Linked DNA regions of Xenopus tropicalis. The protein of the gene in region 1 interacts with the protein of each later gene in a pairwise test. Links are inferred from orthologs where the notes say so. Each region holds a gene or a part of one and is shown in the gene's direction. Other genes may lie near its edges.

Region 1 (4,126 bases):
AGGGGTTATTTTTTTAAAAATGGGATGTGGTAATTGGGGCGTGGCCACAAAAGGGGGCGTGGTCAAAAATTGCCGTGCTGCGCGTGCCAAATCTTTTTGTCCCTCTTTTCATTTTTCAAATGTTGGGAGGTATGATATTATACTTCCTGACAATCTGATTAATACTATACAAACAAAGTAGTGAGAAACTGGGCAGTAGCAGTAATAGCAGGTAATATGACAAAGGAGAAAGTCAGAGACCTTCAGCGGGGCATGGAGCCCCTATTAGCTGGGCATGGAGCCCCTATTAGCGGGGCATGGAGCCCCTATTAGCGGGGCATGGAGCCCCTATTAGCTGGGCATGGAGCCCCTATTAGCTGGGCATGGAGCCCCTATTAGCTGGGCATGGAGCTCGTATTAGCTGGGCATGGAGCCCCTATTAGCTGGGCATGGAGCCCCTATTAGCTGGGCATGGAGCCCCTATTAGCGGGGCATGGAGCCCCTATTAGCGGGGCATGGAGCCCCTATTAGCTGGGCATGGAGCCCCTATTAGCGGGGCATGGAGCCCCTATTAGCTAGGCATGGAGCCCCTATTAGCTAGGCATGGAGCCCCTATTAGCGGGGCATGGAGCCCCTATTAGCTGGGCATGGAGCCCCTATTAGCGGGGCATGGAGCCCCTATTAGCGGGGCATGGAGCCCCTATTAGCTGGGAAAGCTCTCTCTGAAAATAAATATCTGCTATTGGCACAATTTTTTTTTTTTTTAAAAATGTATTTTCTTCTATTGCAAAAATTCTTACTTTGGCAAAAGGGACAGAGTTGGGGGGGGTGATTTTATTAAAATTGTGAAGCACTTCTTTAAACATACAGGCTAAGCGTAATACTAGTGCCAAAACGCGTCAGCCATCGTTCTAACAAGTGCCACAACCCACAACAGGATTTCGCTGCGGTATCAGCGGTAGATTTCATTGAAGCGTTCCGCAAGCTTTCCTTCATATTATATGCAACTGACCCTTGCATACTCCCTCGCTAACTGGAAAAGAACATTTACATTACAGGGTCCCACTAGTTACAAATTCATGTTTATTTAATTTTCTTTTCCCGCCACCTCCAACTCGTTTGCCAAACACCAGGCCAACCAGTGAAAGCTGAATCCCCTCCTTCCTCATCTTCATAACAGCGGGGGCTGTAGAATCCCATTGGCTAGCGTACACCATCGCCGCCTGTGATTGGACAGAGCTGCGCGGGAGAATGCACAGACGTTGTATTGAAAGAAGTGACTGTACCGGACACAGTCATTCCCGCGCTCTGCTCTCGCCTGGTACCGATATGAATTGCCTCAACGTACCCGAAATCATGCCAGGCTCGCCCAGCAAATCCCGGGGCCAGATCCAGGTAAGCCGGGCACAGCATTACATTTAGCCATGCAGTTTACTCTCCAGATGACTTGTCATGAAGTGAAGTGATTTGTAGTTCTAGGAGAAACTGGCTGAGCACTCTTGTTATATGACAGCTGCAAGGGAGTTTTTGTGTTGTATCTAGCCTAACACATCTTTATGAGAGGCCCCCTAAAGGGAACGTGTATTAATAGTGGGCTCAGGTGCATGTATAGATTATATTTGCCCTCAGTATTATACACCAAGGGCTGTGAGGCACAACACACTGCATCATGCAGCTCCCAGACATACATCTTGTATATAGACTTACATTTGGGTTAAGTATATATTTAAGTGCAACTGTACAGGGCAGGGACTTTGTTCCTTATTAGTGGGGTTATCATTTTTATATAAGTACCCAAGGGCATGTACCAAATGTGGCAGCCTTAGGGGTTGCACTCTGGTGCCTGGAAAGAACAAAACAAAATATATCCCTGCCCTTGAAGCTTATGGTGTGTGCCAAATAATTCTAGCAGTAAGTGGAAAGACTGCTAAGAATTCTGGTTTTTAGGGTAGTGGCACATATGGCATCATAGGGGCTGGGATTCAAAACAGAACCTGCTATTTCAAGCACACAGAGGCCTAAACAGCCAGGGACAGGCTCCAGAAATAGTGACTGTTTGTGGCATGTACCAAAATCTGCAGATTGGCAGTCTGAGCCTGATATTCAGGGTTATTTTCTAGGGGGGTTTATGGCACACAATGAATTCACTTTCTTTTGTATGTGAGCCCCATAAAGTGTTGGCAAAGACTATTCCCAGTGTCTTAGTACAGGGATCCCCAACCTTTTTTTGCTTGTGAGCCACACTCTGCTGTAAAAAGTGTTGGTGGGCCACACAGGCATGAAAAAGGTTTTTGGGGTTGCCAAATAAGGGCTGTGATTGGCTATTCGATAGCCCCATGTGGGCTGCTAGCCTGCAGGAGGCTCTGCTTGAAGTAAAACTGTGTCTCTGTGATTCCAAAACTTGCCTCCAAGCCAGACATTCAAAAATGAGCACCTGCTTTGAGACCACTGGGAGCAACATCCAAGGGGGTGGGGAGTGACATGTTGCTCAGGAGTCACTGGTTGGGGATCACTGTTGTAGTAGTTGGGATTGGGTATATATCATATGCATTCTTACAGAGTTTATCTATAAATAGAATACTAATGCTGGCAAAGGATGGAATGCAGAATTGTGTTTTGAACAAAGGTTTGACTGAATACACATTCTGTAGATAAAAGGTTCTACATTCCACAACATAGATTCTACATTCTGCCGCACTCACAGGTGGGGAGGAGAGCGGCGTTTATGCTGCTCCTTTGTTCTCCAGCCCCTAGGAAACAAGCAGTATTGTAAAAATCTGGTCTGTGTGCTAATTTTGAAGTAGTTGAAGAGACTGCCATGACTATTTTATTTATTATTTTCATTTTGGGGCCTTTACATTTCACGGTCTTTGGCGAACCTTTGTATGGATACAGGGCCAGAAGACCCGTCCTATTTATAGTGCCATACAATGGTACCTTTATCACATTTTGAAGATAAAATACAGAGAGGTTTGAGTTAGTTTTTACTAAAATTTATTAGAAATCCACTTTAGCAAAGCATTGCTACCACTGGAAATTATTTGGCCATGCAATTGTATGCTGATTTCTGCTGCACTGCTTTGAAAACCTGCTTATGTTTGGAATTTATGACCTGTACAAGTCAGAATTCTGGTATTGGCTCATTCGGGAGACATGGGGCCTTCCAGATCAGTGAAATATAAAATGCTTCTGATATATACTTCTGTATTGTATAGAAATTATTTTTATCATGTTACAGAAGTGGAGTTGCACAAAGACTCTGAGAATGTTAAGGTTGTCCTAACAAAGCAATGGGCAGTTTCAATATGTAAACTAAAAGACAAAATGCCCCAAAGAACACAAAATGCTCAAATTAGCTACATGGTTAATGATAAAAGATGTTAAAAAGTATACATGTCCATCAAATGAAAGTGTATATACCATGACTGCTATAGTTGGTTTGTGTGTTAATTTGTATTTCAAACCCATTTGTTTTTACTTTTAGGTGATATTTGGGCCAATGTTTTCTGGAAAAAGGTGAGTTCAAAGGACCGCGCAATTCTATATTCTCTCTCATGAGCTGTAATCTAGATGTTCCTTATTGAGAACAGTGTGTTGCTATGGCAATGGGGCACGCTACTTCCAATGGGCTAAAGTGCTTTGGAAGGAGGGCAGTAGGGGAATCAGTCTTGGTCTGCGTTGGGACAATTCTTCTTTTTTTTTTTTTTTTTTTTTTTTTTTTTTGAATGGATGGTGGTGCTGTTTGGTATTTGCTCACATTGCATCCATTTTTAGAGTGCTGCAGTATGTATTATAGTAAGCCTTTTTAAAAAAGTATGTTTATTGTCCTTTAACTGCTGTATGTCATCGCATGAGACTGCTTATTTTCCTATTCTGCTGAACAAATTTTCTGTATATTTTACAGCACAGAGCTGATGCGCAGAGTGCGACGGTTTCAGATTGCACAGTACAAGTGCATGCTTATAAAGTATGCGAAAGATACACGCTACAGCAAAGAGCATCTTGCTACACATGACCAGTAAGCAATTTTACACATTCTGTATTGTTAAGCTCATCTTATCTACATATAGAAATATCGCATATCATTGGTTGTGGTACATTTGTATTTACTGATTTTAAAAAGCATGCCCAAAAATCATATAGGACT
Region 2 (4,080 bases), on another chromosome or scaffold:
ACCATCTCTCCCTACTATACCTGCTATCCCACAGCCACAGTCCCTTCCCAGAGGCTATTATCCCACTGCTACTATAGGCACCATCTCTCCCTACTATACCTGCTATCCCACAGCCACAGTCCCTTCCCAGAGGCTATTATCCCACTGCTACTATAGGCACCATCTCTCCCTACTATACCTGCTATCCCATAGCCACAGTCCCTTCCCAGAGGCTATTATCCCCCCACTGCTACTATAGGCACCATCTCTCCCTACTATACCTGCTATCCCACAGCCCCAGTCCCTTCCCAGAGGCTATTATCCCCCACTGCTACTATAGGCACCATCTCTCCCTACTATACCTGCTATCCCACAGCCACAGTCCCTTCCCAGAGGCTATTATCCCACTGCTACTATAGGCACCATCTCTCCCTACTATACCTGCTATCCCACAGCCACAGTCCCTTCCCAGAGGCTATTATCCCACTGCTACTATAGGCACCATCTCTCCCTACTATACCTGCTATCCCATAGCCACAGTCCCTTCCCAGAGGCTATTATCCCCCCACTGCTACTATAGGCACCATCTCTCCCTACTATACCTGCTATCCCACAGCCCCAGTCCCTTCCCAGAGGCTATTATCCCCCCACTGCTACTATAGGCACCATCTCTCCCTACTATACCTGCTATCCCACAGCCCCAGTCCCTTCCCAGAGGCTATTATCCCAGTTGATATTATTAATCCTTTTCTGACACCTACACAAATACACCTCATGTCATGTTACTAAACTCCCTCCTGCTTTCCATGTAGAATCACCTGAGAATCCCAAAGCCCTGGTTAGTGCCCGGACAGGGCCATTACAGGCATCATATTAAAATAAACAAGTGCTGCCCATCACGGACAGACGGGCCCCGGTTAGAGTTACCTGCTCCAGGCGTAATTGTGCGAGCACCTCAGGTGTCACACGCAAAAATGTGTCCTTAGCACTTGTGAGTTTCAGGGACACAGCAGCCCCGGGCGGTCCCGGACCTAGCATCCTACTGTGGCGTACCCACAGCAACCCCCTTCACTCCAGCGCTGTGTATGACGAACGTGCAAGTAACAGAACTTCCATCGCTAACGTTATCAGCTCCTTCATGCCTACTGGGTAACTTCCGCGCTGTTTCACCTTTGACAATCGAGGAAATCCCACTCACCCTGTGTCTGCTGACGTATAGTACCTCCCGCCCAATCAGAGAATGGCGTGCTCTAATGACGCCTGTGTGCGGGGCAGTCCTTCCGCCTATTGGTTCTGCTGCCTTTCCGCCTATTGGTTCTGTGTCCCGGCCTGTGTTTGGTACAGGGAGAGAGGGAACTATTTCTTAGACAGCAGAAGCCGATGGCAGAAAGCGCAGCAGTGCAAGTGCAGGCCTACGCACACCATGAGCAGCGAAAGATATGCGCCTCACGGGCCAAGTACCGCGAAGGACGGAGGCCCAGAGCAGTCAAAGTGCGTGAAACATTTACAGTTTTTGTTTTGGTTTTTATACGTCCACACAACTAGTATTCCAGCGTATTCTTGCGGTGGGACTGAGCGCCAGTGCCGCTCTAGCAGGTTTCCCTTCGTAGAAATTGCTCCCTAGAGTTATCACTGAGTTACAGCTTCCATAAGAATGTTAGCTCTTCTATATTCATGTGGTTTTAATTGGGCACTGTGTGGGAACTGGTAATGATTTCTGTTTCTACATAGGAGCATATTGTTCCACTGAAGGAAAAAATGCTGCCTTTTTATCTGCACCCACTGATAGGGGAATAGTGTGGGAGAGGGATTAGAGTTCTAGTTCACCATTTGGAGGCAGTAGGTTTCATTATAAACTATGGGCTATTTCCCATGATTGTAATTATAGATGTCACAGACCCAGTGGCTGCAACTGATAAGGCTAAATATATGTTTATGAATAAAAAGATAATTTTGTGGTTGGGCCCAGTGGTCTCTAGTTACACCAGCAGTCATGTATACTGCAAGCCAGTGGGGTACCACAACAATTTCAATTTAGGGCCCAAAAAATATTTGTATGTTAACCTATTCTACCAAGATACATTGACATTTCTCATCAATTAGGGTCTTATTGGGCCACTTCCATTCCTGGGCCACTTCCATTCCTGGGCCACTTCCATTCCTGGGCCCCCTTCCAACTGCAGGGTCTGCCCTAGCACACACTCCAGTTTCCCTTTCCTTGCCCTGTAACATTACATCATTTCACTCTGCACACATTCTCATACAACCAGCACACTTAACATGTCTGCATATAAAAAAAACACACACAAACTGATACTATTTTCTTTTAATTTCATAAAGAAGAGTATAATGCACTCAGTTACTGGGTTCACGTTAAACTGAGGGGTATATTTAAAAAAAAAAAAAAAGTTTAAATTTGACGCTTACCAAGATTGACTTGTAAGGGTCTGTTTTAAGCTTTCCATATCATGTGACAAATGTAAGATGCTGATGTGCATTTAAATTTTAAATGTTTGAGAAATAAAAAAAATTATATTTTGACCAAAAACTGAAAATGTGCCTCATCTCAGTTTTGTGCCTGTAGCCCTCGGCTATTGCACCCAGTCAGATTTATTCATATAATGCCAGAGATTCTCAGCTGGATTGAGGTCAGGCCTGTGACAGAGCCATTTGATCACTGGGATCACTGTTCTACTGAAAGATTAATGTTTATTTTTTAGCAGCCTGGAACAGGCTTTTTTTTGGTGATATTTCACTGTATTTTGCCCCATGCCTTGAAAACAATATTCCCAGTTGCTGCGTTAATTATATAACACACAAATCTGTGGTACTAATGAAGAATCAGGCTTTTGCGCAGAGAAATCTTTAGTTTAGGACTTTAAAAACTGTTGATTCCTTGCTGAATACTTGGACAGATAACCATTTGCTTTATACAGTATGGCAAACATGGCATATACAAACAGTTGTATCACTCTGGCTTGATTAAGCCATTTTACAGATGATGCAAATAGAAAAACTTTAACGTATGTTCAAGCCAAAGAAAAGTATCCAGTGCTTTCTAGCAAGTTACTGGCTTTCCTTCAAAAGCGATACCAGTAAAATTATATAGCCATCCTCCCGCCAAGAGAGCTATATCACTGGGCTTTAAACTATTATATAAGCAGAAATGAGTTGCTGGAAAGCTGCACACCATAAGAGCAAGTTAATACCTGGGTGCCAGTGCTGAAAGCGTAGATACACAGGGTTGGAATGACAGCACACGCAGGATGTTTTTCAAGAAGAATCACAGAGGTTTAGATAAATAAATGTGAGGCTTTATTCAGTCCGACGTTTCAGTTCCTATCTGGAACTTTCATCAGGGACAGTAACATCACAGTGCAGTACAAACCTTTTTAAGCACAAAAGGGCCCTAAACCTCTGTGATTCTTCTTGAAAAACATCCTGCGTGTGCTGTCATTCCAACCCTGTCTATTATATAAGCAGATAGTCTATACTTCTTCCACCAAGGGACACAACAAATGGCTTCTGAAATTTTCTCAATTACAAATGTCTCAAGGCCTTACAGTATGCAAATAAATGTCTTCCAATGGGATCATATAAAGAAATGCATCTAAAATTCTTTTTATTGAGCCTACTACTCGCCAAAAGTCAGTCCCAAATAGGACTCTCTGGAGGCAGATTTATTTAATTGTTTCTGGACATGTCCTCATAGTAAAAAGTTTTGGGTATCAATAACTTGTTATGCCATTGATAACTTGCTAGACTATGTTCCTATGTTACCAAAATGGATTATGTTCCTATGTTACCAAAATTGACAATGTTTGGTATCCCTACCAAATACTAGACTTATTGGGGGAGTAGAAAAGTACTGTTTATCATATCTGCAGCTGCTCGTAAATATATGCTACAAGTGTGGATAGAGAAACAACCCCGTCACTGTCTTTTTTTAAAAGTAAATTTTATATATTCACCTATTATTTCACCTGTTTCACATGGATTGGCTAGAAGTCTCCCTCCAAAAAGAAAAACACACGAGATGAAGAAAGAAACAAATGGCAATCAGTTTTAAAATGTTTTAAGAACAATTATTTTAAAACAAGG
Region 3 (4,282 bases), on another chromosome or scaffold:
CTGCAACAGGGCACAGAAACGAGAGGTGAGTGCGGGAGGAGTGGAGCCTAGGTTGGGGGTGTGGCTCGGCAGGGTAGGCTTGGGTATAGCTCCTACTATATGCTCTCCTAGGGGGTTTCGTTTGCAGTTGCTAAAGGTACTAATGTCGGTGTCAACTGACAGTGATGGGAGTTGTAGTTCTGTGCTACTGGTACTTTTCCAATGTAGTGTGTTTGTGAGTAATGGGGTTACTGTATTAGTGGCTAAGGATGGGATGGTGTAAGGGCTGCCTGTGCTTAGATTGGGGAGGCTTTAGGGTGGGATGAGTAATGGGGTTCTGGTAGATATAGGGAAGTGGGAACCTTGGGTAATCAGGAGTCTGTGTATTAATGATTTGGGTTGGACACTGGGTGAAATGGGGCACTTCCTGCCCTCTAGTGGGTGGGTATGGGCTATATGGGTGCCTTTGGGTGGGATTTAGCTGCAGGGGGACCAATTCAAGGTGCAGTGGTGTGGGGGTTAATATTAAAGGTAGGTTGTTGGGGGCACAGAGGGGTGGGTGGATGTGCCCAATAGATGGGATGGAGAGTGACTTGGGCACGGGGTACCCTCCTCTTGTTCCCCCCCCCCCCACTAATTTCCTTTCTTGCCTTTAGGGGTTGATAACTAAACCAAGTGACACCAAAATGACTGTCAAGATTGGAATCAATGGGTAAGTTAAGGGGTTAATAACTTCATTGGGGGTGGGTGCTGGGGCTTAAGGGGGTAATATGCAGGTGAGTGGGGGGAGATGCTGGGGTATAAGGGGGTAATGGACCCAGACAAACAGCTGGGGGGGGGTTAATGGCTTGGCAGATTAAAGGCCGATGGGATAGTGTTCTCTGCACGGTTTAGCGATTGGCCAGTGTAAGATGCCCCTTGGCTCTGGCAGTTGAGGGGTTATAAGTAATGAAGCTACAGACCTTTCATAAATGGTTAATGGTCCAGGCCGATTATTCTTTCAAAATGGCTGCTGCTCCTTAACCCCTCCCCTGCCAGAACCATGCGGAGTGTGAAGCTTCCTCACGTCCCACTGAGTCACTGCTCCCCACCTCACACCCCAACCCCTCCTCTCCATCCGCTGCGGCTCCCCATTGCTCCACCTTCTGCCAGGAGGGGGGTACAGTAATGCGCATGGGGGTGTCCCCAGTGTCTGGCTGCTGATGTCTCTCAAGGACAACCCCAAGGTCACAGTGTATCCTGGGCCAGGGTCACCCTTGCACTGTCAGTGTCCTATTGATGAGCTGTACCTGGGGGGCTGATGCACGGCACCTTGGGTGAATCCCCTCCCCTCGCTGCTGCAGAATAAGGAGTAATTGCACAAGTGTGGGGAAGCTGAGTCACGTCCTGCTCCCTGGTGGCAGCCGCACGTAGGCACAGTCCCCTGGCTGTTTTATTCTGGTTAGTGACCATAATCCTCACAGCACAGAGTCTGACTGGGCTCTCGTGAACCTTCTAGAGACTTCTCTCATTAAAGTGGGACACTAAGATGCCCCCCCCTGGCATGGCTAAGTAGGGCTCCTATTAATAGAGGTGTTGATGCCAGCTGCTGTAACCCACGCCAGGGACATTATCATTCTGCCCTGCACGTCTCTGCCAGGACTCGGATCCAGTACTGCCCCACAATGGAGGCTGCTCCCGTCACTCTGGCCACTCATCTCTCAGCCTTACTACACACCCTCCTGTTTGTCCTCATTACGCGTCGCTGAACTTCACTGTTGAACTTCACCCCGAGCAAAGTTCAGCCCTGAATGTGCAGCCAGTCACTCGTATTGTGCCTCGAAGCATGCAGGGCAGTGTCAGGAGTCGCAACAGGCAGGCTGTGTGATTATTGCCTGTAATAACAGGGCAGTGGCAGGCAGACTGATTATTGCTTGTAATAACAGCCATTATTCAGGTTGTGCTGCGTGAGCAGTGCTTGGATAAACTGCCCCCCCCCCCCCAGGCTGGCTCAACTGAGTCTGGGTCAGTGGAGATTTCTGTGTCAGCAGGTGTTGTGCTAATGGCGGCACAGACCTTTTTTTTAAAGGGCAAGTAAACCAAAGTACATTAAGTTTGCATATTTCTTAGTGACAGATTGCCTAAATCATGTGCCCCCCCCTTGTGCCATTTAGAATAGTGGGATCCATTTGATCTAGGTCTCTGTATTCTCTATGTAACTGGCCCCTGTTTATTGCTATTCACTATAATGACAGCTATGTAGGGTGCCCTTCCCACCCTAACTGCTTAAAAAGAGGGGGTAGCAGTGCACCCCATTACTTCTATGCTGATCAACCAATTGCACCAGGCAACACTGCCCAGCAAGAGTCGGCAATTGCCAGTGCACTGTGGACAAACATTGGTTGGCTTGGGGGTTCCCCAAGCCAACCAATGAGGGGAACCAGCATGCCTTGATTCTATGGAGGGTTATGGGAATTGTAGTTTAACATATAGGGATCAAAGGACTAAGCTGTTGCATTGTGGTTTCAGTGCATTGGCTAAACTTCCCCTTTAACATCTAGCTGTGACGTCGCATCACTTATGATGCAAGGCTTTATCTTCTTACTGCTTGCCAGTGGCACAAGGGGTTAAGCGCATAAACATCTAACGATAGAAATCATTTTTTCTTTTTAAGATTTGGCCGCATCGGGCGCCTGGTGACCCGCGCTGCTGTTTTAAGCGGCAAATGTGAAGTCGTTGCAATCAATGACCCCTTCATTGACTTGGACTACATGGTAGGTGGCTCCGTTCATCTGCATTTTTGTGTTCTGGAGTATAAAATGCTCGGGAATTAACCCCTCCCACTCTCCGCAGGCTTACATGTTCAAATATGACTCCACCCACGGCCGATTCAAGGGAACAGTGTGTGTTGAGAATGGCAAGCTGGTTATCAATGGCAAGGCAGTCACCGTCTTCCAAGAGTAAGTGAGGTTGTGGCTCAGTCCTGGCCTGGTTCTAGACTGGGTTCCTGCAGCAGAATCTAATCACAGGGGGGATGTTTACAGTTCTCTCCTCTCCCCAGGCGTGACCCCTCCAACATTAAGTGGGGCGATGCTGGTGCAGTGTATGTGGTGGAATCTACTGGAGTCTTCACAACCAAAGAGAAGGCCGGTGTAAGTAGTTACACCCCCCCCCCCCATAACATTTGGCTTTCTATATCTAGAATTCACCCTGGACTTTTTTTTTTTTAATTTTTACCTGCAGTTGCACTTGAAGGGAGGTGCCAAGCGTGTCATTATCTCTGCCCCCTCAGCTGATGCCCCCATGTTTGTTGTTGGGGTGAACCATGACAAATATGATAACTCTCTTCACGTTGTCAGGTAAGTGTGGGGTAAAAATGGGCGTTCCTTTAAAGGGGGAGCGAACTACCACAATGCTACAGGCTGTCTGCAAGCTTCTGTATTACTGGGTTAACTCTTTAGTTCTCAATAGCTCATGGTTTGCAGCTTCTGTAATCTAATAAGGGCTTGTTTACTATAACAACCATGTAAAACTCTAAGCCTGAAGGCTGTAAATCCTTAAACCTTTTTTTATCAGGATATTTGTCTATACAAATACTGATCAGGCAGGGGCTCCCTCTACTGCCCATAATAAAATTGCAGCCTGTTCTAGGTTTGCTGCTTGGCCAAACCATTCTGTACTTGATGGAACCTCTCAGTAATTGGCTAGTGCTTAGGCCTCTGTAGGCAGGCATTGATGTAGGCTGCCCATTCTCTGCCACTTTCTTTAGCTCAGGAATGTTAATGCTGTAAGTCTCACAGGCAATTACTGTTCTACATAAGCTGGCTAGCTTCAACTGGCAAAGTGGCTCTGCCTTCCCAGCCCTGGGCCTGCCTTTACAGGGCCTTGCCCCAAATACAAGCAGTAATGTGTCCTCCCTATATGGGCTGGCCTCTTTACTCTGATGGAATAAGGGAGTGATGCTTAGTTTACCTTTTCCCCTGCTTTGCCCGCAGCAACGCATCCTGCACAACCAACTGCCTGGCTCCTCTTGCAAAGGTCATCAATGACAACTTTGGCATCCTGGAGGGACTGATGGTAAGTGCAGTGGGGCTTATTCAGCTTGGGACATAGAGCCTAAAGCAAACTGTCTCCCCCCTCACCCTGTATGAGTGACCTTAATGGAAATTATACCCCCCCCAAACAATGTAGGTCTCTCTAAAAATAGTGTGAACAAGCTTGTACATAAAAACCCTGCTTTGTGCAAGTTTTCATAACTTAACTTACTTTTTTGTAGTATGTGCTACTGGGTAATCCTAAACTAAAAACTGCCATTTTATGAATT

Evidence for each region. The genes of interacting proteins can lie anywhere in the genome.
Region 2: the proteins of tk1 (region 1) and rbm48 interact in a two-hybrid assay, tested with the Homo sapiens proteins (2 studies listed by BioGRID and IntAct). The link is inferred for Xenopus tropicalis from reciprocal best matches to the Homo sapiens genes TK1 and RBM48.
Region 3: the proteins of tk1 (region 1) and gapdh interact in a two-hybrid assay, tested with the Homo sapiens proteins (2 studies listed by BioGRID and IntAct). The link is inferred for Xenopus tropicalis from reciprocal best matches to the Homo sapiens genes TK1 and GAPDH.

The regions. Positions count from the first base shown.
Region 1 is NC_030686.2:26,185,843-26,189,968, forward strand, and holds the start of tk1 (thymidine kinase, cytosolic), read left to right. Parts: upstream 1-1,290; 5' UTR 1,291-1,308; coding exon 1,309-1,374; intron 1,375-3,463; coding exon 3,464-3,495; intron 3,496-3,883; coding exon 3,884-3,997; intron 3,998-4,126. UniProt on the Homo sapiens protein: Cell-cycle-regulated enzyme of importance in nucleotide metabolism. Catalyzes the first enzymatic step in the salvage pathway converting thymidine into thymidine monophosphate.
Region 2 is NC_030682.2:31,762,909-31,766,988, reverse strand, and holds the start of rbm48 (RNA-binding protein 48), read left to right. Parts: upstream 1-1,244; 5' UTR 1,245-1,359; coding exon 1,360-1,470; intron 1,471-4,080. Other genes in the region: pex1 (peroxisome biogenesis factor 1), read right to left, coding at 907-1,017. UniProt on the Homo sapiens protein: As a component of the minor spliceosome, involved in the splicing of U12-type introns in pre-mRNAs.
Region 3 is NC_030683.2:10,006,069-10,010,350, forward strand, and holds the start of gapdh (glyceraldehyde-3-phosphate dehydrogenase), read left to right. Parts: upstream 1-1,446; 5' UTR 1,447-1,494; intron 1,495-2,632; coding exon of another isoform or gene 2,633-2,729; coding exon 2,730-2,732; intron 2,733-2,811; coding exon 2,812-2,918; intron 2,919-3,019; coding exon 3,020-3,110; intron 3,111-3,201; coding exon 3,202-3,317; intron 3,318-3,953; coding exon 3,954-4,035; intron 4,036-4,282. UniProt on the Homo sapiens protein: Has both glyceraldehyde-3-phosphate dehydrogenase and nitrosylase activities, thereby playing a role in glycolysis and nuclear functions, respectively.